Linked DNA regions of Nothobranchius furzeri. The protein of the gene in region 1 interacts with the protein of each later gene in a biochemical or structural test. Links are inferred from orthologs where the notes say so. Each region holds a gene or a part of one and is shown in the gene's direction. Other genes may lie near its edges.

Evidence for each region. The genes of interacting proteins can lie anywhere in the genome.
Region 2: the proteins of cav1 (region 1) and ptpn11a form a complex in vitro, tested with the Homo sapiens proteins (2 studies listed by BioGRID). The link is inferred for Nothobranchius furzeri from reciprocal best matches to the Homo sapiens genes CAV1 and PTPN11.
Region 3: the proteins of cav1 (region 1) and ptgs2b form a complex in vitro, tested with the Homo sapiens proteins (2 studies listed by BioGRID). The link is inferred for Nothobranchius furzeri from reciprocal best matches to the Homo sapiens genes CAV1 and PTGS2.

The regions. Positions count from the first base shown.
Region 1 is NC_091744.1:52,442,317-52,447,389, forward strand, and holds the start of cav1 (caveolin-1), read left to right. Parts: upstream 1-1,990; 5' UTR 1,991-2,179; coding exon 2,180-2,212; intron 2,213-2,995; coding exon 2,996-3,163; intron 3,164-5,073. UniProt on the Homo sapiens protein: May act as a scaffolding protein within caveolar membranes. Forms a stable heterooligomeric complex with CAV2 that targets to lipid rafts and drives caveolae formation. Mediates the recruitment of CAVIN proteins (CAVIN1/2/3/4) to the caveolae.
Region 2 is NC_091746.1:40,340,955-40,346,081, reverse strand, and holds the start of ptpn11a (tyrosine-protein phosphatase non-receptor type 11), read left to right. Parts: upstream 1-1,860; 5' UTR 1,861-2,094; coding exon 2,095-2,108; intron 2,109-3,608; coding exon 3,609-3,731; intron 3,732-5,127. UniProt on the Homo sapiens protein: Acts downstream of various receptor and cytoplasmic protein tyrosine kinases to participate in the signal transduction from the cell surface to the nucleus. Positively regulates MAPK signal transduction pathway. Dephosphorylates GAB1, ARHGAP35 and EGFR.
Region 3 is NC_091748.1:67,409,844-67,414,879, reverse strand, and holds the start of ptgs2b (prostaglandin G/H synthase 2), read left to right. Parts: upstream 1-1,769; 5' UTR 1,770-1,825; coding exon 1,826-1,904; intron 1,905-2,082; coding exon 2,083-2,199; intron 2,200-2,294; coding exon 2,295-2,438; intron 2,439-2,518; coding exon 2,519-2,662; intron 2,663-2,947; coding exon 2,948-3,129; intron 3,130-3,219; coding exon 3,220-3,303; intron 3,304-3,396; coding exon 3,397-3,643; intron 3,644-3,946; coding exon 3,947-4,233; intron 4,234-4,317; coding exon 4,318-4,465; intron 4,466-4,962; coding exon 4,963-5,036. UniProt on the Homo sapiens protein: Dual cyclooxygenase and peroxidase in the biosynthesis pathway of prostanoids, a class of C20 oxylipins mainly derived from arachidonate ((5Z,8Z,11Z,14Z)-eicosatetraenoate, AA, C20:4(n-6)), with a particular role in the inflammatory response.

The DNA.
Region 1 (5,073 bases):
TGCGATCACATGACTACCTCAGCTGTGTGCATACCGGTTAGAGTCACAGGCAATTTAGCACAAATGACCTTCAGCAAAGAGCTATTCCTCACAATCACAGAGGTTTACCTTTACAACCTGAGCAGAATCAGCTGAATCAGAACCGGTTCTGTCAGTGTTCTGAGTGACACCAGCGTGCCTTGTCATTACGGTAACTGGTTTCCCACAGATGATGCCTCGGGAGGATTCACATGCAAACACTTTGCTGCTTGTCTTCAGCTCTTGGTGTTGTTGTCTCAGTGTGAAACTGTTCCAGGCTGCAGCAGGATAACATCTTTATGTGAAACAGGTGCACATCTGCTCTGTTTTGATCTGCGCTCAAGGCCGCACCTTTGGAAGTAGGTGGGGGTTATTTATTTATGCAACTGTCCAGAGGAGACATCACAGAGGGGTTCTTCACAATAAAAGAGAAAAGGATCCTGGTGGAAATGAAGAACTTGAGCTTTCTGCAGAAGATTTCCAACAACAAAACAATCCATCCTCAACGGCCAAGCGGTGGTACTGTAACGTTCTAGATCAGCTGGGCTGCGTGGACAGGCTGCACCTGGGAAGGTGTGGATTTAAAGCACACCTAAATCAGATCTATAACTGTAGCTACTTTGTTTGTTCTGGTTTGTTTAGGTGTTGTAACATAACTTTGTTGTTAAATACAACTAGATCTGCATTCATCTGGGGCCTAAAGAGGAAAGTCAAAACATAAAACGGGGGCTTCTCCGGGATATTTCTGACCAACAGTGAATACTAAACTTGATTGGTTTTGTGGGAAAATCTGGTTAGTTTTAGGTTTACAACATGCAGGGAGAACCCCAACATCAACAACCTCAGATCATTATACCAACAAAGATGTTAGGTAGGGATTCTCCTCGGCGTGCTTTTATCATGAAAGGCTACAATTACATGTAACTCTACGAATAAAAATGTGATTATTATAAAGTAGTTTTATTTATTTATCATGGGCAGCAGCAGCTCAGGAGGGAGAGTGGATTGCTGCTGGTAGTCATAGGGGCCGGTGGCGCCTGTGCTCGGCAACCTTGCCTCCATCAGTCCACCTCAGGACAGCTGTGGCTACAGTGTAGCTCATCATCACCAATGGGTGAATATGTGTGTGTGTGTGGGGGGGGGGGGGGTTGGGCTAAACGACTGATTGTGTTATAAAGCACCTTGGGGGGTTTCAGGAGTCTAGAAGGCTGGAGAGAAGATCCCAGCACAAATGCAGGCAATTTACCATCATGACTATTTTTATTATTATGAACTGAATGAGGCAAAACATGTATTGTACATTTTTGTGTTACTGTATTTAAAACATTAAGTGAAACATTTTAAATGAACCCAATTATAAAGCAACACACACACACACACATTAAATGAAAAATACATTTTTGGATGAATATAGACAACAAGAAATTGATGAAAATGACTGAAATCTAACTCAATAATCAGCCAACTTACAATATCAGACCTGTGTAAAAACAAAGCAGCCTACCAAAATAAGAGCGGGTGAAGAACGCTCCTAAGGTCTCAGAATTGCTTTGGTGATGGGATTCTATGAGACGGTTTGACTATGGATCATATCTGAATGTGCCGAGAACCACTTCAGATATAACATAGATTAACATGGAGAGACCTCTTCACATTTCTGTGGACCGCAGTCTAAATGCAAACGTTAGCAAATAACTTTGTTTAAAACCATCTAAATCCTGGATAGCTTTGGTTTTTATTGTGAATTTGTATTTTTTACAATATGATCGGTGTATGATTTTACAAACGATCCATAGGTGTTCTCCATCTGGCTCTTTCTCCCTGCGAGCTGCAGGTATCCACACCTTGTCATTCCCTATTAACGCCCACATTTCACCCAACAAATAAGCCATGCTATCCTCTGCCTTGATCCCCAAACGCAGTTGCTCTGTGCCAATTTATTTCAGAAGCCCTTCAGTCCGTGTGAGAGTCTCCTCCAGCGCGGACACGCTGCAGCGCTTGTGAATACAGGAGTCCCCTGAAAAGCGGGTTTCCCTTCGGGCATGCTGGAGGCAGGTCCCTGACAGAAAGCGCGGAGCTGGGAGTGTGCCTCCACGCCTCCCACTCGGTTTCCTCTCCTGTCGCATCTGGTTGAACGAGGATTCCTCCAGTCGCGGACAGAATGACAGGAGAACTGAAGGACGAAACAGAAGAGGTACAGTATGACTCTCAGCTGTAGTTTGTCTCAGAGTTTTGAGCTTTGATATTTTTTCATTAAGGAGGTAATACATCTCTGTAGGATTTATTGGACCCACGAGGGGGAATTTCATGTTTCTATCCCTCACACCTGGAGCTTGTCGCCTCTCCAGGACTTTGGAGTTTTCTTTAAGAACGTTTGCGTGATGCGAACACTCTTAAGACCAGTCTATTTGTCAGCAAGAACCCCTTTTTATTTATATTACCCATAACGTTGGCGAAAGTGAACGAAAACACATATATTTGCGTAAAAAACGAGAAAGTGGCAGATTGACGCACTTTTACGCATTCGGGTTTAATGTAGTAAACACGGAAAACCTGCATGTTTTGGCACCATTTATTAATAATCACGTGTCGCACAGGTCCTATCGAGAGGAGAGGACTCGTTGCAGTTTATGACATGAATTAATTTAAAGATATTTGGTTTAATAGATTTTTGGGGATGCGTACTTTTACGCATTCACCAAAAGAGAGGTTTCCGTGCGCCCAGGTGCATTCCAGCCCGCTGTGAGGTGGGTCAGGATGTGGAGCAGCAGCCTGCGTGGTGAGGACCCCTTGCGGCTGAACGCAGGGGTGTGGTGCTTCACTTTGCGTTCATTTAAACCCATCCCAGTTTGTGTGGCTGGCTGCTCCAGTCCTTCGTTCCCTCTCAGCGCGCTGCGCACCCTTCTTCCTCCTCCTCACGCTTCTCTTTTTCTGTCTTTCTTTCCCTCCTCCTCCTCCTCTACGTGAATCCTTACAGGAGTTTCCGCATTCACCCTTCATCAGAAAACAAGGAAACATTTACAAACCGAACAACAAAGACATGGACAACGACAGTATGAACGAAAAGGCCATGGAGGATGTCCACACCAAGGAGATAGACCTGGTCAACCGGGACCCCAAGCACATAAACGACAACGTCGTCAAGGTGAGTCAGAGCTTTAAGTTTGACGTTTGAACTAAAAGGTGCAGCTGGAGTGATGCTTTATTGTATAACTGCTGCAAACGAAGTGTTGAGAGAAAATCAAGGTGATAGTTTTACGTTTGTCTAAGAACGTTGCCAAACTTCTGGCAGCTGTTGAAGTGCGCGTCTCGGAGACGCGCTCCGGCTGCGCGCTGATCTCCAGCCCCTCCGTGTCTTTCCCCTATTAGGAAGAAGCTTTGCAAACGCGGTGAAGTTGAAAGAAGTTATCATAATCAGCTCTGAAACGTGACAATCCCGCTCTAAAGAGGAAACATCACGAATTTCCTGTTGTTGCTGCTGCGCGCGTTGATTCCCACAGTCGCTGTTTGCCTTTTTGTGATGAAAGCAAATTCTTTCCGTAAGGGAGAAGGCTGCTCGCACAAAGGCTGGAAGTGTGTTTAGTTTGAGGAGGTGAGGAGAGGAGAGGGAGCAGCGAGGCACCTGCTTGAGTCTACCCTTGTGAAAACATTGAAACACCCTGCTAATCTGATGGGATCCCTCACCACTCCCTCCTCCTACATTTTCTCCCATTCTACTCCCCCCTCCTCCCTGCATGCCAGCACCTGAGCCAAGGGAGCAGAGATGCTTCTTTATTAGCATCTGACAGTTTTTGGAGAGGGAACTGACTGAGGATTTTCTTGGGATGAAAAATTGGCTGAGATGCTGCAGTTCAAAGTAAAAGGAACCAACTATGATTAAAGTCCACTTGAAGATCTCGCTGCTTTCACGGTAATCTTTTTAAGAGACGTTCCAAAAACACATAAAAGGATGCATGTTACCCACGTGACCTTCTAGAAGCTGCTGTTGGATAAAAAGGGGAAAACTGCTCTCCAGCGTCTCTGCTCCTGTCTGCACTCATGCTGTCTCTCCCTCCTCCCCAGCTCTCCAATGTGAAAGTGAGTCAGACTCTCCCTCCAGTCCCCCCCCCACACACACACACGCATGCACGCACACTCACACTCACACACTCACACTCGCACACACACACACACACACACACACACACACACACACTCACACAACCACCACCCACACCCACACACACACACACACACTCACACTCGCACACACACACACACTCACATTCGCACACACACACACACACACACACACACACTTGCACACTCACACACACACTCACACTTGCACACACACACACACACACATTCAAGACAGGAGGCGAAACAATCTGATATCACATGACGATAACAGGAAAAATGACAAAACGTTCTCTAGTTTCGTCATGGTGGGGGGGGGGGGGGGGTCCTGCCTTTTTAGCGTTACAAAAGTATTTTCAGAGGTGAGTCAGGACCGGGGTGCTCCAGTGTTTTATTTCATTGTTGTCATGGCTGCAGTTTGGCTGCTAAAGTTAAAACAGATGTTGGCATCTGGTCTGCAACTGTTGCTGATGGTGCCAGCAAGAGAGGTTCCTGAAGGTCTCAGGGTAAGGTTCTAGATGACTCTCAGTGGGTTGCATGGCCTAGCGTTAACACTCTGAGACGGTCGTGGCAACTTTCATCAAAGACAGATTTGTGGCAGATCAGATAAAACGCAGAATCTGGAAGTCAGCATAACACAAGTGTGCATTTTAACCTGCTTGTCTCTTTAAAAATACATTCATGCAAACAACATTTCAATAAAATCTTTAAAGTTCTTTTCATCCTAAATTAGAAGATCTGTAACATTTCATAATAATAATAATAACAATATTAATGGTCCAGAACAATTGTGTAACATGAGAAGGACCCAGTGTGGAGTCATGCTCTGAACCATGAAAACGCTCTAGTGATTAGAATCATTTTAAAATGACACGTTAGCTCTGAGGTCATCGTGACCTCACTGTTAGCTCGTGAGTTTAGCCAGATTCCCCCAAA
Region 2 (5,127 bases), on another chromosome or scaffold:
GGGGGAAAAAAACCTCAAACACCGATGGGAAAAAACACACTAGAGAGACTAATAACATGAACAGCTGTAACTAAGGAAAATGATCTAAGAATAAAACCTAAAGACCTGAAGGGCAGCAAACATAACTAATATTCTAGGGGGGAAGCTGAAACTAGAGGAAGACACTACAGAAAGAAAAACTACAGGGGCGTGACTAAAATGGGGCCAAGGGAGCACAGGACCTTGTAGGGAAAGCCTGTGGAGGGAAACCTAGAGGGCTGAAGATCTGGGGGCAAATGGGGAAACCCAGGAGACACAAGAGGAAGACACAGACAAGGACACATGAGGGCGCTAGGAGGCACAAAAGGAGAACCTAGAGAGGGATGGAGAACATAAGGAGAAACATGAGGGGAGACGCAGACTCAGACCATGATATCTACGTTCCTACCCTCACCTATGGTCATGAGCTTTGGGTAGTGACCGAAAGTGGCCGAAATGAGTTTTCTCCAAAGATTGGCTGGGCTCTCCATTAGAGATAGGGTGAGAAGCTCGGTCATTCGGGAGGGGCTCGGAGTAGACCCGTTACTCCTCCACATCGAGAGGAGCCAGTTGAGGTGGTTTGGGCATCTGGTCAGGATGCCTCCTGGACGCCTCCCTGGTGAGGTTTTCTGGGCACGTCCAACCGGGAGGAGACCTAAAGGTAGACCCAGGACACGGTGGAGGGACTATGTCTCTCACCTGGCCAGGGAATGCCTTGGGATTCCCCCAGAGGAGCTGTCTCAAGTGGCTGGGGAGAGGGAAGTCTGGGTCTCTCGCCTTAGGCTACTGCCCCCGCGACCCGACTCTGGATAAGCTGATGAAAATGGATTGATGGATGGATATGTAGCACCAAATCCTGACAAGAATTGTCTCAAGGTAATTCACAAAGTAAACATTTTAATACAGTTCAGTTCATTGATGACAGTGGAATCATCTGCAAACAGACTCGTGGTTGGAGGTGCAGCCGTTGGTGTATGGAGAGAAGAGCAGAGGGGAGAGAACACAACACTGAGGGGAATCGGTGCTGATGGTCCGCAGGCCCGAGACATTCTTCCCCAAACTCACTTGCTGCTTCCTGTCCATCAGGAAGTGAGTGATCCACCTGCAGATAGGGTCAGGCATGTTCATCTGGGACAGTTTGTCTTGGAGGAGGTCTGGGAGGATTGTGTTGAAGGCAGAGCTGAAGTCCACAAACAGGATCCTGGTGTAGGTACCCGGGGAGTCCAGATGCTGCAGGATGAAGTGTAGAGCCATGTTGATGGCATCATCTACAGACCTGTAGGCTCTGTAGGCAAACTGCAGGGATACTGGATAATGGATGGTGATAATGGTGGTGGTGGTGGTGATGATGATGATAATGATGATGATGATGATGATGATGATGATAATGATGATGATGATGATAATGATGATGATGATGACGATAACCACCTGTAGTAGTTCAGTATTTATAAGCAAGCATTTCTGGCACTGGAAACTTATACAAGCATAATATTTCTTTAAGTATAATTTTAATAAGATGTCATTTTACAAAAAAAGAAAACGGTGTAAAAATGACATTTCACAGATATTTATAATCGCAAACATAAAGTCTACCTTTGTTTATCATTGCACGCTTGTCGCTTCTGCCACTTGAAGGGTTTAATGAGCATGCGTAGGATGAAAGTGATTGGGATCTTCATTTTATATCTCACATTTCGCCGGTTAGGGTTGTGCTCAGGCGGAGACACTCCAGAAGCTTGCTGCATTCCGAGGTGCGCGTGCGGCAACGTAAACGGCCGCGTGGGGGTGTAAATCCAAGCGCCCTCTATTTTGTCCGATGATTTTGTCGCATGTTTGGTGACGTACAGTAGTCGACTTGTTCTGAAGTCTCCAGGGCCGAGGCCTAGAGACTTTTTAGTAGCGGGCGCTACCCATGTCTTTCGTGGATGCCTAACTCGTTTCCTGCGCCCGTCCTGACCGGGTGTTAATCGATGAAGCACTTCATCAGATAGCTAAAGCAGAAACGGTGGGAAGCGTTAGCCAGCTTGTTGAGGCTACCAAGAAGTGCCAGCGAGGAAGTGAGGAAGGGAAAAAATGACATCTCGGAGGTGAGAGGGCTGTCTGGAAAACAATGTCTGGTGACAAAATGTTAGCCGAGCCGGCTAAGTTTGACTCCGCTCAGCTGTCTGTAGCTCTGTACGTGGGGAATCGAGGCTTCTGAGAGAACCGAAGGCTGCGAAACGGCTAGCTTAGAATAAATGTGTTTAGCGTTACACCGGCAACTTGGAGCCAGTTGAGAAAACAATACTTTTACACAGTTATTTTAAACTTCACATCTCATCTGCTTGTGTATCATATGCGCCCGTTTCAAACGAGCAACGCATAAATTAGCTACTGAGCAAACTTAAGAGTTTTTTTAAAGAATAGTCACAATAGTTAGCTTAGTTGTGCTATGCTTCTGTCTGACAACCAAAGATAGCGTTACACCACGGTCGATCCCGTATTATTTACACAGCTCTGATTTGGATTCTTGTTTGTGGGGGAAAGTGGGAACCCGATTCAAGAGAAGCAAAAGGATACACGTAGGAGAAAAGATAGTGATTTACAGGAATTTCTTTAAAAAAATGAAATAATCCAGGATAGGAAACCAGTGTAGGTTTTTCATGTTTTGTATCAGAGTGAATACAAGGGGATCAATATTTCAAACATTCTGCAGATTATTTTTCACACACACACACACACACACACACACACACACACACACACACACACACACACACACACACACACACACACGTCTATATAGTCAGTGTGGGAATGTAAACAGGAGATGCTCTGCATAGGATGAAAACTTTTATCACTGCCCTGTGGTTACAGCATGGATCAGAAAACAGAAATTAAATCTGTATTGAAATCAGGGCTGTAAGATAATACAGCACACATTTATCTTGGGTCTGAAAGGGGAATGGAAAATACTGTGATCAGTTAAATGATTCCCAAAGTCAAACCCCAGAGCTTTATTATGTTTAGAGCTGGTTATGTTACTCTTTTGCTTTAGAATTGACTGAAAACTGAAAAGTCATGTTGTGCTATTACTAGTAGTGGTATTGTCAGAAACATATTTAGGATTCTAGTTACAATATACAACACAAGACTAAAATGTTGTTAAAGTCCTAGATAGTGTGTCTTTCTGCTGCAGAACAAAGCACTCTAACCTTTTGGGGTTATTGATGCAGAAGTCGTGCTGTTGTTGGTTCTGCAGATCACATGATTGGACTCTTGTACCAGATGTGTATCTGATGCATCTGATGTTTAATCAGACAGGAAAAATGCTGAGTTAAATGGCTCTACTCTGTCAGATTTTCATGGTTCTTTTAAAAGTTTTTTTTGTTTTACATCTGGAAGAGGTTGTAATGTTTTAAACAGTGACCCTAAATTATGTTTAATTTGAAGGAATGTGTTAAAATTTCATTAGGGAGATGTAGGAGACATTTTTTTGTAAAATGATGCATTTGGACAACGGATTAAACCCCAACTGATTGGTTTTGAGACAAAGGTTTTTGGCCACAGTGGTAATTAGCATCATTCTGTTCCTTTTCCTTTCTTAGATGGTTTCATCCCAACATCACAGGCGTGGAAGCCGAAAACCTCCTTCTGACTCGAGGAGTGGATGGCAGCTTTTTGGCCAGACCAAGTAAAAGTAATCCAGGAGACTTCACTCTCTCAGTACGGTAAGAGATAACAGTGATTACTGCACTAAAAACAACAAAAATAAAACGTTAAATCAAGAATATGATGTTATTCCAACCAATCAGTCACACCAACAATCTCAGATTAGGGCTTAGTTCACTCACTTATTCAGAGGATTCACTAAAGAGGCCTTACTTCATAGATTTAAAAAAAAAGAAACATGTTAAGATAGAAAAGGCAAGAGATTTATAAAATGTCACAAAATTAAGCAGAAGAGGTGTAAGCAACATGAACCTCCATTAAAAGAAAAAAAAGAGGCATTACAAATGTAGGTAAGAAAATTCTTCATTTATGGTAAGTATTTTGTTCACAGCCTTTACGCTTGTGGCTAAGTCCAATAAAGTTAGACACGATAGAGCTGTGACTAGAATGCAACGTTTGAGTTCATTTTAAACAGAACTATTGGTAATGTGGTTTTTAGAAAGAAAAACATCCTATAAAGCATCATCACAAAATCTGCAGCCCAACCAAATCCCCCAGCCAAAACTCTGCTTGTGTTAAACTTCATTTACACAGAGTGCAGAACGCACAAGAATCAGAGTCTTTGCTGCTTCTGCAAAGACCAAAAATCATTGAGTCCAGTCAAAGCATTTGCACCAGCTTGCTGCGGGGCAAATCTGGATTCGGAGCTGCAGAGTTTTTCCATGTGGTTTCTCTTTTTTTCCGAATGCCGCATGTGGATGAAGTTGACAAAATGACATGAGCCGTACAGGAAGTGGCTGACATTTACTATTTTTTAGATATAGGCTGATATACCTCCTTAGTAAAGTGGATTTAAAGTCAGGCACATTCCCGGGAAACCCAGTGCTGCTGCAGAATTTAATTTAAATGTATATTTACGTTCCTGAAGAACATCTGTGTAAAAAATGCTCTTATTTTCAGCTAAAATTTGTTTTTATATACCAGTTTTGAACATTTAATACTTGGTCAGTTGACTGATTTGTTTGATTAACTTCAGTTAGATGTCTGATTTTCACTCTGAGCAGTGCATAAATTAAGATTTACCAGTTAGTTAAATTCAGTGTTCAAAACCTGAATTGGTTTCAGAAATGTTGTGCATCAACTGATGTTTTAGTGCCATTTCAGCATGAAAGTAAGGTGGAAATGCCCAGATATCAGCCATGAAAATCATCAGCACATCGGCCATCGGCTGACCACGACCTTTACATATAGGCATCGCTATTGGCAATAGATGAGCTAATATTAGTCGACCTCTAGTTCTGATCTGCATCTGTTCCACACTTGGTGTAAATGAGGCTTTAGTCTTTTGTCCAGATGCAACAGACAGATGTTCAGGCTGATGACCTCTGATGTGCATGTGATGCAGAGCAACTCAGAGAACAAACATCAGACTTAGCCTTACACCAGCACAAATAT
Region 3 (5,036 bases), on another chromosome or scaffold:
GAGCTCTGCTCCTGAGCCAAAATAACTCAGACCTCCCAGCACTAAATTTTCATATGAGGCTGCATATGTGTGAGAAGGGCCAATAGCAACATTGCATGATGCAAAACAGCTGCAGTGAATGCACCTTTTAATAGACACACATAATGCTTCCTCGTGCAGCATCACTTCCACCTTAGAGTTTAAGACAACAGGATTGGCTGCATGTGCATTCTTAAGAGCATTTAAAGCATTTAAAGTTGGAAACAAGTCAAAGGACATCACCAACTGGTTCTGCCTGATTCTTATTATCTGAACAGAAAGGGGCTGGCAGGTGAATGAATGTGCAACTTTCAATGTTGTTAATGCATCCCTAACCCTAACCTTGAAGGGTAAAAATCCAAAACAGAGATCAGAATAGGTGAGAAAATTAATAAGTCTCGATCTCCCCCTTCTGTATTTAATCTGTACACATCTGCCTTAATTCATAATATTTGAATCGCGTATGCAGCTGTGCGTTTTCAGTTCAAATGTAACTTTATTGTGCCAGAAGAGAGGCTCAAAGCAGCCTTTACTCCACATCCCCACAATAAACATGAATTCTCTTTAATGAACACCAGCATTTATGTGTAAACAGAAGGAAGCGCAACATACCTCAGCGGGACGACGTTACTAACTAATGAATCCTGTTAAATGTGCCATGTTGGTAGAAATAGAAAAATAAGGAGGCGCTTCTCGGCACTCACACCCGGCAGTCGGTCAGGCAGGAAGATTCGCGATCACACCAAAGTGGAGAAAGGTGGGCAAACTGACAAAATGATTCAAAAGTCAAATAAAGAACAATCACGTTGCAGGAAAATCGTCGTGGAAAGGAAATCCCAAAGAAGGGTCAAAAGTTTGACTCGGCAGACAAAACTGCGGCTGACGTGCGTCAAACTGCTCCACACTGCGCTCCACTGCGCAACTTCCTCCACGCGGGGGCACTGACTAACTTTTTCTCCCTTTTAATATTATTACTAATAAGGATGATTCATTGACGATAACTTTATTTCAAATATATAATGTAGAGCAGACCTGCTGCAGATTTTTATTCTAATTATAGTTTTTATTCCATACATGTTTAAAAGTTCTTTGAGACTTTTAGAAGAGCAGTCTTTATTATTGTAAATGCATTTTTATATTTCACTTTCCACCTGCTGTTCTTCTTAAAAACTATTCAATTAAGGCAATTAAACGATTTTGATAAAATATGATAATTAGACAAGGGACTTTTAGAAAACATGAGTAAATACAAATAACAAAATGTGTAATCACCACAGAACGCCCTGTCTTATTTTTTTCCATTTCTCAGTTAACTAGTTTTCCTATTTCAAATAAACAAATTTTTTATTTGCTGTTTTCCGTATTTTCACTCTCTTACATATCTTCCGGCAGACGTGCGTCCTACCTTAACAAGAAACCCAGAAAAGTGATGGAAAGCTGAAAATGGTTTATCAGGCAGGGTTAGAGTCCACTTTTGGGATCCAGGAGGAGATGGATGTTCTGATGCCAGGTGTTGTAACACATTGGATCAACAGGTGAGAAACCTGGAAAAAATGGAAACCTGGTGAAGCAACAGCTCTCACTGACCGAGGAGCCAAAATCAATCAGAGGACGAAGAAATTCCCAAGGAGCAGAGTCTTTAAATAAATAATAAAATCTTTTAATTTTCAGAGAATTTCTTCATTCTTTATTTTAAGGGGCGTGGCTATTACGTCACTAGCTCCTGATATATAGAGAAGCGCATGTCTGAGAGCTCACACATTGACGATTATCAGAGAGAGGAGAGAAAGGATTTAGAACAAAAATAATGCGCCGGAGCTTTTGGAGTATGAACAGACTCACATTTGCGTTGTCCCTGTTGGCTCTGTGCTTTGTCTGCGAAGGAGGTAAGTCAACAATTGGAGTTTTCCCTCAGAATTAAAAAATGTATCTTAGTTAGAGAAACTTAAGAGTGTTGTGTCGGTTTAATTCTAAGGATGAAATTAAATACTTAGCAGCAATAAACCACCCTGGTTAAACGAACACTGCATTGATTTCTTAGTAAAAGTTTAACTGTGTTAACAGGTAACCCCTGCTGCTCAGAGCCATGCCAGAACAGAGGTGTGTGCACAGCAATGGGAGCAGACAGATATGAATGTGACTGCACACGTACTGGATATTATGGCCAAAACTGCACAACGCGTAAGTAAAACCAAGATCAGGCATGAAATGAATGTAAAACTAAAAGCTGCCTCTTGTCCAGACTTGTTCACTCATCCTCCACTCGTTCTCCACAGCTGAATTCCTCACCAGGATAAAAGTCTCCCTGAAGCCATCGCCTAACACCGTTCACCACATTCTCACCCACTTCAAGGCTTTCTGGAACATCATCAACAGCATTTCCTTTCTCAGAGATGCCATCATGAGATATGTGCTGACGTGTAAGTTCCCTCAGCTCACATGAAGTCTTGCTCTTGTTTCAGTGTATATCAATAATATTGTCTTTTTTTCTTAATCCCAGCTCGATCCCACATGATTGACAGCCCTCCCACTTACAATGCTCATTATGGTTATAAAAGTTGGGAAGCCTACTCCAACCTGTCCTACTACACACGTGCCCTCCCACCTGTGCCGCAGGATTGCCCAACCCCTATGGGAGTCGTAGGTGAGGACACTGTTTGCCTCAGCAGAACCAGTTTTCTTAGATTCTTAAATACTGCGCAATAACGTCTTGGTCCCATTACATCACCTGGAAGAAAACAGAGTTGGTGTTTTCTTTTTGTTGTCCTTCACACAGGAAGGAACACCAAAAATCTGCCATGGTGACCAAAATAGATAACAACAAAACAACATTTTGGGAGTTTTACACAGGAACTGTCCTCCGTCTGTGTGGTGTCATGTTTAAAGCTCATTGTTCTGCTTCATTTTTTTTTTTTTTTTTTGCTTCCAGGTAAAAAAGAGCTGCCGGATGTGAAGGTTTTAGCTGAGAAGCTCCTGGTGAGGAGAAAGTTCATTCCAGACCCACAGGGTACCAGCTTGATGTTTGCCTTCTTTGCACAACACTTCACGCACCAGTTCTTTAAATCTGATATGAAGAACGGACCGGCTTTCACCGTGTCTAAAGGTCACGGGGTGAGTACAGCAGATTATGTATCGGACAAACAAAAAGAGCAAACCTTCAGTTGAAATCTTTGGCTCAATGTTGTGTCTCTGTGTTTTCAGGTGGACCTGAGTCACGTCTACGGTGTTGACCTGGAGAAGCAGCACAAGCTCAGGCTCTTCAAGGACGGCAAGCTTAAATATCAGGTAGGAAAGGTGACAGACAGGTGCACTTCTGGTGGTTAAATGTGTCCCACTTTCATCCGTGTCTCACAGTTTGTTCCTGTTGTATCTCCACAGGTAATAAACGGAGAGGTGTACCCTCCAACAGTCAAGGATGTGGGTGTTGAAATGCACTACCCCCCTCATGTCCCAGACTCTCAGCGCCTGGCCGTCGGCCATGAGGCCTTCGGTCTGGTCCCTGGACTCATGATGTACGCCACCATCTGGCTCCGTGAACACAACCGGGTTTGTGACGTCCTGAAGGAAGTCCACCCAGACTGGGATGACGAAAGACTCTTCCAGACCTCCCGACTCATCCTTATTGGTGAGTTTCAAGGAGTTCCCGCAAAGAGGAATATAAAGGACTTCCTATTTTGTTGCTGGAAAAGTCAAATAATGAGAAGGTTGCATGAAGCAAAGGTTTTGAATTGAGGAAGCTGCGCTCTTCGTTTTGGCAATCATTGATGCATTGTTGCAAATTCAGAGAAGCAGAAACTGGTTTTACAGTTTCTGTTCAGCATCTTAATAAGGAAGCATTTTTGTTTACTTTTATTTTTAACTCTGCTCTCAAAACCTTTTAAAACATGCAAATTAGATATATCAACCTTTTTTTTTTATTATCCGTCAGGTGAGACCATTAAGATTGTGATTGAGGACTACGTGCAGCACCTGAGTGGGTACCACTTCAAACTCAAGTTTGACCCAGAGCTGCTCTTTAACCAGCGCTTCCAGTACCAAAACCGCATCGCATCTGAATTCAACATGCTATACCACTGGCACCCACTGATGCCGGACAGCTTCCAGGTGGAGAAGAGAGATTACAGCTACAAAGAGTTTATCTTTAACACCTCTGTGATGACTGAGCACGGCATCAGCAGCCTGGTGGAGTCATTCACCAATCAGATTGCAGGACGGGTAAGAGCTGTTGCAGCAACATTGAGGCTGTGGCCCCTCTACGGTTTTAAAACCTCCGGGATTAATGTGAATTTTATCTGACAGGTTGCTGGTGGCCGTAATGTGCCGGGACCCATCCTGTATGTGGCCATGAAGTCCATTGAGCAAAGCAGGCAGATGCGTTACCAGTCCCTCAACGCCTACAGGAAGCGATTCTCCATGAAGCCTTACAGCTCCTTTGAAGACCTGACAGGTGAGATCAACTCATTACAAAACTTTTCAGTTGTATTCGGAAAATGTGACGTAAGAGAATTGTGAAGAATTTCGGGTACTTTGGTTTCATACCATTGCTTCACGTCCGTCCGCTGAACGCAGCTCACGCCACAGTTTACTCATTATTAAGGAAGTGATCTGCACTCATACCCTTGCAGCTTTGGAGGTTAGGTATTTATTTCCATGACTCTAAAAGCCAGACGTCCATTTAATCTTGATGTAGCATAAACAGAATGTCATCACAAAGAGCAAGATGTAAACACACTGAGGCTTGCTGCTTCACAGCAGACGGCATAAAACTCACAGCAGGAGAATTTATAGTAGATGAAAACTAACTTTATTAGCAAAGAAACAGTTTGTGTCTCTAGGGAGGTAAACAGAAGCCAGCCGCACAGAGAGAAGACATGTTTCACATTGATGTTGGACTTATTTAGAACCTAAACTAAGTCTTAAAACCGTTCTGTTCGTTTTCATCAGGCGAAAAAGAAATGGCTGCCTTGCTGGAGGAGATGTACGGTGATGTAGATGCCGTGGAGCTCTACCCTGGTCTG